2 linked regions of the Caenorhabditis elegans genome follow. The protein of the gene in region 2 purifies or fractionates together with the protein of the main gene of each other region. This does not show direct contact. Each region holds a gene or a part of one and is shown on either strand. Other genes may lie near its edges.

The links. The genes of interacting proteins can lie anywhere in the genome.
Region 1: the proteins of daf-14 (region 2) and daf-8 purify together in Caenorhabditis elegans (affinity purification with western blotting, with the first as the bait; one study listed by BioGRID). This does not show direct contact.

The regions. Positions count from the first base shown.
Region 1 is NC_003279.8:8,583,902-8,589,057, forward strand, and holds daf-8 (Smad protein daf-8), read right to left. Parts: upstream 3,607-5,156; 5' UTR 3,589-3,606; coding exon 3,496-3,588; intron 2,936-3,495; coding exon 2,459-2,935; intron 2,262-2,458; coding exon 2,062-2,261; intron 1,858-2,061; coding exon 1,465-1,857; intron 1,342-1,464; coding exon 1,058-1,341; intron 849-1,057; coding exon 655-848; 3' UTR 523-654; downstream 1-522. UniProt on the Caenorhabditis elegans protein: Probably a receptor-regulated SMAD (R-SMAD) that is an intracellular signal transducer and transcriptional modulator activated by TGF-beta-like daf-7 signaling.
Region 2 is NC_003282.8:10,248,837-10,256,357, reverse strand, and holds daf-14 (Smad-related protein daf-14), read right to left. Parts: upstream 5,732-7,521; 5' UTR 5,713-5,731; coding exon 5,630-5,712; intron 2,742-5,629; coding exon 2,683-2,741; intron 2,270-2,682; coding exon 2,128-2,269; intron 2,081-2,127; coding exon 1,930-2,080; intron 1,864-1,929; coding exon 1,351-1,863; intron 811-1,350; coding exon 763-810; 3' UTR 506-762; downstream 1-505. Other genes in the region: F01G10.9 (aECM cysteine-cradle domain-containing protein), read left to right, coding at 1-60, 241-315; F01G10.10 (BPI2 domain-containing protein), read right to left, coding at 6,683-6,797, 6,844-6,995, 7,388-7,486. UniProt on the Caenorhabditis elegans protein: Probably an atypical receptor-regulated SMAD (R-SMAD) that is an intracellular signal transducer and transcriptional modulator activated by TGF-beta-like daf-7 signaling.

The DNA of each region.
Region 1 (5,156 bases), on a different chromosome or scaffold from region 2:
GATCTACAATTCTTAGAACCTCCTCCTTTCAACCGATCCTTTCACAAGTAAAGTGCTCCACTCTCGCAAGAAAAGGTTTTGATTTCACGCTCCAATATCAAAACGAAACTTTTTTTAAATACTAAATTACTTATTGAAAACAGATCACTGTAAAACTCTAAGCCACTTTCTGGATAAATAAAATTTCGATCTGAAACATTTTAAGCGTAACTGTGCACTACTTTCGACGGACGTAAAACTGCTCGGATAACTATTTTGATGATTTCCAAGGATTTTAGGGGGTTTATATTTAAGTGAATATCCTGGCAGCTTTTTGAAAGTGTTTTTTTTTTTGATAATATTAAATTTAATCCATCAAGCTCGATCGGAAAAAATCAGACCAAAATTACATTTCCAAGGATTCTAGAATATTTGGCTACTGTAAACACTTTTAAAGTTGACATAAGTCGTTTAAAAGCTGCAAAAAGAAATCTCGAGCAGTTCTAAAGCCCTCAAAAACAATGTAAAAATACACAGAAAAAGTTTAAAATCTAAATTTTTAAATAAAAAATTTTAAAACTCGTTTTGATGTTTTAGAGTAAAATAAAAACCTTTCTCTATCAACAAAATTGATCACACGCAAATTGGAGATTAGGATTTTGGCAAAGAAAGAAGCTAAGTTCTGGATGAACATATACGTGGTGGAGCTCCCATACAAGTGAGTACACTATCGACCCAATGCATCGGATTATTCAAATGAGCCTGAAACCAAACAGGCGATCGGAGGACGGTTGAACGACGATAGTGTTCTCCCCAACCTTTGCAGAACGAAACACGAACTGTGCACATTCGTGAGAGACAGTAGACGTCTGAAATGTTGGAAGAAAAAAAATGTAGCTGACTAGAAGGTTTGAGAATTCGTATTCTCCGAAAGTTGCATCGGTAAAAACTATACACCAAAAAATGTCAAAAACTTTTTATAAATTATTTTTAGTTGACAATTTTGATATATCGCACAATAGCCGTACTTTGGACGAAAAGTAATATGATATAATAGAAATTACTAATTCACTCTCACCTTGATATGTCTTCTCAGCTGCTGTTCTCAGCTGTTTGGAGAATAATCTCATGTCAAAAACTTTCATAGTTCCAGTTGGAGGCAACTTTGATACAGTATTCAATTGGAAACCATTCTTCATATTTGCACCGATTGACTGTACAAAAACAGGAATATTGCACAAATTCTCTACATAGACTTCACCAGCTAACAAGTAAAATCGAACACCCTTTCCAATGAGACCACGAACTTCGGCCGTTTGTGGAGAGCGGTTTGGATTGTTGTACCAACCAAGCGAGAAACGGCTGTAATGATGTTATTTTGATATTTACTTGAATTTATGTTTTAGTTCAGTGTACACTAGTGAATGTAGTTAAAATTCAGATGCGTGTAAGTTCTAGACCAGGGCTTCTGTCAATGATACAAACCTTCTGGTTTCTGAGTCAGTGCGACTAGCTGTAAATCCATCGATCAGGCAGTGATGCCCTTCTACATCGGCTTTCTCTCCAATCATCGTTCCTTCTTCATAATAAATTAATTTCAGCCAACTCGGCGACTCTTCATATTCTACACATTCATATATTCCAGCCTGTCGTGACAGATCTCCAAGTTCTAATGCCGAAGATCGATAGAGTGGTCGAGGTTCAATTGGTGTGATAGGCCGTCCATCTGCATACGTTGGCTTTCGGTTTCCATTGTTCTCTGATGAAAAATTCTCGGAATGCATGATGTCACTAACTTCGGAATCATCCATCATTTCTTGATCCAGACTTATTGTATCATTTCCGTTTGGAATAAACTCTCGAGGAGAAGCTGCATGACTGTAAATTTAAAGTTTTATAGATCTAAACTAATATTTCAATTTTTTCCAATATTCAACAGTTTCGTCGGCCCGACCGCCAAATTTAATTTTTTTTTCAACCTTTAGGTCGAATTTCGAATTCTACTTTCAGTTTAGCCAGTTCTTTAGATTGTTGAATCAGTATTGTAAAAACAAAAAAATTCCAAAAAAGTGAAATTCGTACCTAGCTGGAGATGAGAGTCCAGATCTATAATATCCGGGTTCCTCGTCGTCTTGTCGATTACTTTGTTGCAGTAACGATGCGAAAGATGATCCTAATGACATCGTGGTAGAGCTACACGGACTTCCATCAAAAGAGCCAAAATTTCCGTAATTCATATATTGAAAATCTCCGTTTTCAGCTGCATATCGATCATAGAGAAGCTGAAATTTTTATTTTTGAATGTGAGGGGGTGACAGTGGATGTTTTGTAGAAATACGTGCAAATATTTCAGTCAACGTTTTTGGTAAGTTTGCAAATTTCCAAAATTTCTAAAGAAAAAAAAAGATTAATTGCAACTTATTTACTGGATTTTGCATTTTGGAAAGAGTTCAAAAAGGGATATCATCTCTCAACAAACCTTAATTTCATCTCCTCTCATCGTCACATTTGGCACATCCCAACTTGCAACCACCTGTTCCTCTTTCAAATCCTTTTGATTCCAATCATCCAGTGCATCCTCAGTCCGAATCGGAGGTTCACCGTAATCCAATTCCTTATTTACAATAATTGGTGGAACTTGGCACGTCGGTAGTTCAACCCATCGATAATGATACGGATTCAGACAAACATTCCGACTATGGGAATTGAATGCATGTCGACACGTTAATATTGATTTCACTTGAGATTCATATCGAATAACCGGAAATCTGAATGCTCTCAAGACACACATGATAGCTCGTCCAAAGTTTCCAATGAGTTTCTCATTGTGTGCAGGACAGCATCGTGTTTTTGGATCACCTTTAATAACGGCATCGTAGAAAGCTTCAAAGCACTGGTGTTTTTTAGCTACTCTAGAGAGTAATCGGGTAACTTTGAGAGCCCAGTAGATTGTTCCCTAAAAAATAGTTGAGGATAGCTTGACACTTCAAATAGGGCAATTTTAAGGATTTGAATTTCTTAGGAAAAGTTTACTATAACAAAATTTAAAAAACAAGATATGGGCTTTTCTCTTTTCCTGTAATTTTCTCTTTATTTTTTTTTTGGATCTTTTCGAGTCTCCAACATACATTAAAACCTTTTGTCGTAAATATCCTTTCAGTTTCTTTAAGTATTACTATTTTTGAAAAAAAATTGTTTCCTGTTTTAAAAGAAAAGGCTAATTTGAGAGACACATTCTAAAATTAGAAAACGTATAAGTTAATGTTTATGTAGGTTGATTCTAAATATTTTAAAATAAAAATTCGCTAATATGTCTGGACATTTGATGTTTGATCAAGATACGGTATCTCTCAACTCTGCTCTTTTTTAAAGTTTCTTGTTCACTTACTTGCTCGCCGGCTGGCCTAGAATATGAAATTTAAAATTTGCAGATGGCTTTTTAATTTTTAAAAGTAGCCAGCGAGACTATTTGTGTTGAAAATTCAAAAAAAAAGTTTCAAATCTTCAAAAACATACATCTCCTTCAGTGATAATAGTTTCTTCTAACACTTTTTGAGCCATTGCCTCAAGTCTGGGATCAGTAGGTTCTGGTGAAGGAAAATCGTCCATTTTCGTAGTTTTAAAACTGAAATTTCGAAGAATTAAAAAAAATATGGGAGGAGATGTTAGGCTAGAATAAAATCCAAAAAAATGGGCCGAGCTTAAAAAGCAACGACCACAAAAAAGGACTGATTTGGGATAAAGAATAATAAATAGTACAGATGATTTTATATATGAAATTAATATTTTTCGTTGTGCATTGCCGAAATTCAAAAAAAATTTGAATCAGAAAACAGAATTATATCCAAAATGATAATAGAACCTTCTGGTAAGTCATAAGAGTCAGGTGAGCTACTCAAATGGGCGGAGTTTCAATATCTACATAGAAAGGCGAAATGAAAGAATTATGAAATTCAAGAACTCGGAATGAAAACTGGTATGAACGTGTAAAAAATGATAAGAAACAACAGTTTGTGATAAGATTTTTGTGTTGATCAGAATCGTCATCACCTATAAAATCAAGGAAAAATAGAGAGAGAAATGAAGAAAAATGAGAGGAAGTTTTCATTTGATTTATTCAACTTTTAAATGGATTCGAAGTTTTTTCGATATCAGGAACGCGGTTCCAAAATGATCGAAAATCTAGATATTTACCTGAATCTTGATTTTGTTTTATACAGAATTTTTCTGAACTCAATGAAGCCGATGACTCCTAATTAATTTATTCAAGTTTCGTTCATTTAGATATGACAAGGCATCACGAAGATCTCAAGACTCACCCGGCTTCTGATACGTGACCTAGAAATAGTTATAACTCGGCCAGCAATTTATCAAAAGCAAAAAAGTTGGGAGGAAAGTATAATTTCATCTTTTGAAATCGTTTCTCTTAAATTTTAGCAAATGTCCATTTTTAGAATTTCTTTGACTATTTTGAGTTTTTATTTTAAAAAAAAGTCCATTAATAGAAACTAACATAAGTACTACTAAGAAGGCGTCATATTGTTATTTTTGTTTCAGATGGATGTACGTCACTACTTTTTATTGAGGTGCTCTCATGAGGAACCAGAATAAATAAACTATTTTATAACACACTGTACCATTTCCAATTGTTTAAGAAATTAAAAAAATAGAATAGAACTCACAGAAAATCAGTTTTTTTCTGAATCTGGCGGCGAAAAAAGCCAAGATATGGACGGAACCTAATTTTGGGGTGTTCTCTAAGCAAATTTTGAACATTGATTTCGAATACTGAATGTTAGAAGAACGCCAAATTGACGGCGAATAGATTAGGAAAAAAAGGTTTTCAAAACAGTAATAATGTATTTATAAATTCTATAGAAGTATGACATTCTGAGAATATTATAGAAAAAGAGATTTCGTATTATTATTATTATCAAATCATTCTGTGAATCTTCGTATCATATGACTTACTATTAAACAACCAAAATGAGCTGAACCTAAAGCCTTGAAGACCACGAAGTGACCACAGATTAAATACTGGAGGAAGAAACAAAACAAGTAAATAATCATAACAATTTATCTATAAAATCCTTTCAAAAGTTGAAGTAAACAACATCCTTTGAGATATCATGATTAAAAAGAATGAATAATGTTTCTAAATTTGTATAATCCTCTTC
Region 2 (7,521 bases):
AAGAGTTTTAGTATCAAAGATGTCTCGAAATGGGCGAGAGGCAACTGTCCCTTCCTGCAGGTAAATTTTAAAATATAGAAATCAAGGCTGCCACTACAGGTAGGCATTTAGGAGTGACTACGTGCCTATCTGTTACGTATTTTTGGTGCTCTTTTGTGAATTCCTGTTGTTGGTGTTACAACAGAGACACATTTAATCAAATCACTTTTTCACAATCATGTTAATTTTCCTTATTTGCAGATGTATGCTCCAAACGCCAGCTGTGAACTCATATTCCATTTTATTGATTCTTGTAAAAGCAAGAAATTCTTCTAAACTATGACTTAATTTTTCTCAAAATGTTCTCTGTTTTCTTTGCTCTTTTAGTTTTGTGCTCATCCTACATTTAAAGACATTTCCAACCCATACGGGATCATCTCATTTTATTTATTTCCACAATTGACACTTTTGTCGTCAGATTTCTAATTTATTGTTTCAGGTTCCTCTCCTTTCCACCAAAAATGTATTATTAATATTATTTTAATAATTTATTCGCATTCATAATCATTTCATCAAATTATTTAATTACATTACAAAGTTCTCAAAACAGAAGATTCTAATAAATAATTGAATTAAAGATTTTAGAAAAGCATTCAAGAGACTGGGAATTTTTTAACCAAAAGAAATGAAAATTAAAAACTGGGACAGAAATGGAAATATTAATCAAACGGGTACGCATTCGAATGCTTAGAACCAATCATTGAAGTGAAAATATTGAAGCAATCATGATCGGGATCCTATTTCCGGCCGTTCGTTATTAATACGGAAAACCTGAAGATTATTAATGGAACTTTAATTACTTGAAACAATTTTGTGTGTTATTTCAAGTGTTTAAATTTAAATTCAAATTCAAATTCAAAATGGTCTCAACTATGCCATACACTTAACAGTTAATTCCATTACTAGATCATATGTTGAATTTTTTGTGTTTTTGTTTTAATGATTGAAATAGTCATATTTTGTTTAATTATTTTATAAATAGAACCGGATAAGACAAATGTGAATATAATTATTAATTATTTGTCTTTCATGAAGTTTTTTAATTTATCTATTTATTTCGGAAACAAATATAGCCTTGATTCACCGAAAGAATCCAGGTGGCTAAAAAATCGATTCTTTAATCTTCAATGGAGATACTTTAAGCCTATACAAAAATTGCTAGCCAGTAAAATTCAGTAGTCGGCTCAGTGGTGTACAACATTTTCAGAGATCTTGGGTATTTCAGCTGCAGTTGGACCGCACTATCGGAAATTGTGTTTTAATATTATATTTTTAATTTAGGAAAAATTACATTAAAGTTTAAAAACTCACTGTATCATACTCATCAGCTGGCTCATGCAAGATAATTTCAATCCAACACGGTAAATTCACAACTTTCAAACGGGAATACGTTTCTCCGAATCCTTTACAGAAAGAGACTCTGATGTTGGAGAAGATTCTCATTCGTTCATCAGCCACCTCTTTTTCAGTTAAAGGTCCGAGAGCCAATGTTTTCTCCTGTTCAAACTGCTCCTTATCGAATATTTTCATTCTTTTTTGATCTCCTTTGTTTTGCAACCGAAACACATATTTCAGTGGCTTATTCAATGTCTGGTTCAGGAATGGGCATTGTACAAAAACAATTTGGTCAGTCAGTACAGTTAGCCAAAGTTCTCCATTTTCATATGCCAATTGAATTCCTGCTCCAACTGTGTTTCGGATTTGTGAGCTTTTTGAATTTCTCGAAGATGGTTGAGATGTAAGCGACATTCGGCACTCATCACTTGCTCCAGTTGCACCATCGATTGTAATTGTTGGGACTTTGGCTTCGAATGCTTTTCCTAGCTGAAAATATATCATTGTTATGCTATCCGTTTTTTGAAATTCTTTCTCAAATAATTTTGAACTTACTCGAACAGTCAGCTCGTAGTAAAATATGGTACACCACGGTTTTTCTTCTTTTGGATATTTGGGTTCAGGATCCAACATCTCGTTTCCAGTAGGACGTACTTCAACTACTGCCTTTTCAGGAGTTTTTGGTTTCAAAGAAGATTGGCTTGAGCTAAAAAAAGAGGTATGTGAATGTGTATAACTTTCAAATAAACGTACATATTTGAAAATGGAAACGGATCATTATTTTCATCAGTTGATGTTGACGGAACATTATAGCAATCAGGCATTGGAGCATCTTCCAACCAGTCGTTTATTGGCATGTTTGGATTATTGATGCTTGCCGGTAAGTGAACTTGATCTGTAATTTTTGTATATCAGTTTGAACAATAAAATAAAAGCTCAATTCCAAATGTTAAATTAGTCAGAAACTTGTTTCCCAAGTGATTGTGATCACGGTGACTCATATGGATGATGAGGGACTTAAGCTGGATAATTTTCGTTTTAGAACTTTCTGATTCATATTAAATCATATGACAAACCGGAAATAAATCGTCTGAAAAACATCGAAATCATACGAAATATTTTTAAAGATATTTTTCATGTTTATAATTGTTTTCTAACAAAAAATTGAAGCATATTTATATTTTATGTGATTTGAGGCATTCTGAGATCAGGAACTGAAAACGTCTGTTTTATAAATATATTTTTTGCAGTTATAGCCACTTCTGTCTAGTTTTCCAATAACTTTGTCATGTCTACAATTTGACTCACCTGGGTACATATAATTCCCCGCAGCCGCCCAATTTGTGGGTGTTGTTGTAGTTTGAAAACTGAAAAGTCGAATATTTAAAACGAGTTAAGAAAAACACAAAACAACAAGGAAGTCGGTTGGCTTTGATATTAATACAAAATGAAATAATTATGAGATAATGAGATCCTATAAGGAAGGGATTATCTAAGGATTACGAATATGAGGGTTGTTGGTGAAATTAGCTGACGTGAAAATAGAGAAAAAGTCAATTGAGTGCATAATAATGCCAGAATACCTATAGATAAGAAATAATGACGTCGTATTAGAGGTTTTGAAATCGGTTCAGTTAAATTTTTTTGCTCTCTATCAGCATGCTATAGAAGGAAGATAGTTTTGGGATATTCATTTGATAAATAAATATAAAAATAAATGTACTGAAATCATTCGATTTTCTAAGTGAAAAACACAAAATCATTTAAAAAATATGTTCACTTTTTCTTCAGGTCTAGTTTCCTTATTGTCAGAGTCTAGCAACGTGTCGTCATAACAGGTGTATTAGAAGAAATTAAAAAGTCGACTAGACTTGTTATAGGGCAAGTCTCACGACCTTAGATTGTTATCTCTCATAAGAGTGTACGTGAAGTTGCCAGACAGGTGCTGTCTCGTTCTTGAAAAAAGTGTATTCAACTATATATCTAATGTTAGATAATGTATGATGCGGTAAATTAAATGTTGCTACTTAACTTTTTTTCATATTCGGGAACGAACTATGGTTCCTTTTTAAAAACTAGATCTGGCAGAATAGAACCAAATATAGAGTTTTTGAAGAAAATTGAAATAAATATATGTATATGAGTATTGGAAACAGATCAAGAACTTTCACCTTTGTTGACGTCAGTCATACTCTTTCTTTTTGGAATTGCGCTCGTTTCTGACATCAGTTTATAAAAGTCGACGGTTAAAAAAATAGTATTGGAACTAGAAGAGACGTGAGAAATATTTTGAGAACTAGATAGGAAAAACGAGAGAGGAGAGGAGCGAGAGTGAGCGTTAGGGTATGTATGTGTGTGTTTTCTGTCACAACAAATGTAAGTGAAAGGAGGAAAGAAATGGGAAAAAAGAGAGAAAAAGAGAGAGAAGAGAGAGAGAGAGAGAGAGAGAGAACGGAGAGAAATAGAGAACGAATATACTCAGAGCATCGGCAACACGTGAGCTTCTGCTCCTAACAGGAAGAAAAAAGTTGGAGTGAGCGCGTAATAGGGAACGATAGCACGTGATCGATAAATAGAAGGAAATGGAAAAAAAGACGAGGTTGAGAACGTCATCTGAATTGTATTTTCAATGACGACTACTTTGAATGAATAAGAGAAATGAACAAAAGAAGGTTAGGGAAAGATGACAAAAGGTTCGTTATTACCGTTCGGAAGAAGAATAGTTCGAGGAGGGGTAGTTACGAAATAAAATTCGAAATATTTTTAGTTACCCTCTGAAATTTTAATTTTTTCATCTTTCCAACAAATTAATGTTTTTCAACATTGGAAATTTCATTGAATAAAAATTAATAAATTTAAAAAAATCGATAAAAAAATCCATACCGAAAACCCCTAAAATAGTGTGACTCTAGAACACTGCAACGTGGCTCTGTCTACAAAGTGTGGTCCATCTGTTGCGCTGTGCTCAAATATTTGCCGATTGCAGGAAAAGAGACGAGAACAGTAACACGAAAAGGTCAGATAGATCAAGAAGATATTATTCGTTTATTGGGTTAAGAGATCAGATTCATAAAAGGCTCGTAGAGATAAACAAATTATCATAATTTTCGGCTTTAGATGTTTGTTTGATTGTGCCTGTTGGAGTCTAAACTTCGAATTATTTACAAAAAATTTTTTTTGAAAAATTTAAAAAGAGAACATTGTGGTTTTTTCCCTATTTTTCATCAAATTTTCCTGAATTTCTTGGAATATTTGGGGACTTCTTTCATAATTTTTTAAAAATTGCTAGGAATTGCAAATTGAGTAACAAACCACGATACTGAACTTTTGGGGAAACTTCAAAATGTAAATGAGGAAAAGACAGGGGCAAATACAATAATTGTGTTTTGATTCCGGTGAACTCAAGAAGAGCGGGTACGTTGCAAACTACGAGAAAGAGAGGTATTTATTGTTTCCGCCCCAGGACATCCGTTGTAAACTTTTTGGTTCAAAAGATCAAGACACAGAAATGCGTAGACAGGGCGGAGAGAGAAATATGCATCTTGTCTTATAAAAGTCGGAACGAGTCAGTCAGGTTAACAATATATTTCCATCTCACTGTCTACGGGGGAAGTGATAGTGTGCTGGACAAATATAAAACTTATTTGGTTTGAAACGTTTTGTTGAAGTTACTGATATAACTTAGTGGTGTTGCCTAATAATTGGAACATTCTAGGTTTTTTTTCAAGCCGAGAAAACAGTTCAATTACTTGTTTTTTGTAAAATTGAGTTTAAAGTTTCAATAGAGTAGAGCAGTCCAGAAAAGTCAGACAGATTTTTGAAATAAAAAGCTTGAATCATCAAAAATAGCTTCCAGTTTGTAAAACCCTGTCAACATTGGTATATATATTGGACTAAAAATAGTCAGTCACCTTTAATTTACTTTTGTTATAAGTTTACATAACTAAAATTGCATTGAAAAAAGTTTTGAGCGACTTTTATAATAGTTTGTTAACAGCCGGGAGTTAGGAAACTATTTGACACGGAAAAATTACAAATTATTTTTCATTAAAAAACAGAAGTAAACATAATTGAATGTGACTATTATCGGAAAAATCACGTGGTGTCAGGCTGTTCCATGTCCCATATGATCTACAATAAATGCGGGAATTGAGACGCAGAGACAACTGTTATTGCACGGTTAAGACATCTTGACACATCGTAAAAAGTACGATTATAAATGTTATCAGCATCACCCGTTTAAAAACTTACTTACCCAAACTCGGCAAAATCGTCCATGATTCCTAACTCTCCTTGGTTGTTAAAAAGTGATCCAAAATCTTCTTGTTCGTTGGACATTATAAATGTTTCTGCAAAAAAATGTGTGTTCGAAACAACAAATCTCCAAAATATAAACGGAAGGGTGCCGATTTATGGATTGTTTGAATAACAGGTAACAAATCAAACATCTACTACACAATTTTTGCACTTTGAATGAAAAAGTCAAAAACAATTGTGTGAAAAGCGAGACTTTAGATGATCAAGTCACATCCAAAAGTATATAGAAAGAGTAGAAAATGAGCAGAAAAACATAGAAACGCAATGACTCCATGGTGATGGTTTTATGTGAAGTGGCGTGACTAGGAAGGGTTCAATATGAGACAAATAAATACGAATTGACATTACTAAACGATGCACATCAGGTTGTTAAGCCAGTAATAGACCCAATTGTACCTTTAAAAACGACTAGAATTTTGATCATAACAAATTATTCGATAGTTGGACAACCCTCGATTGCAAATAATTTGGATCCAGTTTTGAAGATTCCCTGTAATTCAGCAAAATAATATTCTGTCAGATTGAGATTAATGGTGGAGCTTGGCCAGTAGAGAAATGATTAAAAACCACAGAAAAAGAAAAATGAGAAAAGTACATTGGTAATGTGAACGAAAGTTAAACGTTGAAAAGATAAGTTTATTTGACGATCAAGAAGATATTGAAATGAATGATCACGAATGAAATGATACCTGTTCGATTGAAAGTATTGTTTGAATTGTTGAATAGAATCTCTATGAAAGACTTGACACGTTCAATCGAAACTCTCATATTATACATTCGACAGAAAAAACAATTTTTGGTCCCTTGCAAATATTTAATTTTATTTGCAGTTTTGCAAATTACGGAGATGAAAACTGTCCTTATTTCTTCAAACAGTTTCGCAGATAATAACTTATTTATTATATATTCATCAGTATTCTTTTCTCGAAATGTACATATAAACCGGTAACTAAATATCGATATTTCTGTTTTTTGGTAACTTTGTCATTCATCACAATGGTCCACGTAACGTTTTTCCAACAGCTCCTCTGACAAGACTTCCTGCGTATTCCTCGTCAAGTTTGAAATATGTTGAAACTTTCAGATAACGATCGTGGAAAGTTAATCTGAAATTATAATAAATTCATATTATAGAGCTCGTTTCAAACTCACTTTGGACTCTTCAGAATTACACCTTGCATGGTTGGCAGAGCAATTCCCATTTGAAGAATTTCAGTGAGAAGCTTCTCTAAAAATTCAGCACCAAATAATCCCAAGTCGGAAAATGAATCTTGGTCGACATCGTTGATTTTTGTTTCAAGGAGCTGAAATATGACAATTTGATTAGCACCTCAAAACTGAAACATCCAGGCCGGCTTCCAAAAAAATAAATTGGTGACAATTTTCTTGGTGAAATATCATATAATCGCATTCAAGTCTTACCCAAGTTCAAATTTTTCCATCTTTAACCCAAAATGTTTTAAACTAGTGTGGAAGATTGGGATAGATTGGGCCTATTTACATTTTACGTAACCTCTTTATTTTACAATTTTGAGCTTTCTGGTGATTTTAAAGGCCTATTAATAATTTACGTTTCGATTAAATTACCATTTGTAAAAACACATAAAAACATATAATATTTGGCGTACGTCGTACGACTTGAAATTACATAGCTTCAGTAAGAATGATTCATAGATGATTGGATGAAACATCTCACCTTAAAATCCAAATTTTCAATCGTTGAGTTTCCAACAATAATTGATCCATTGATCCACAAGTTTACGTTTGCAGTCATTGTCGTGTCAGCTTTTAGGATCTTTACGAAAATAAAAGGAATTTCTGTTTCATAGA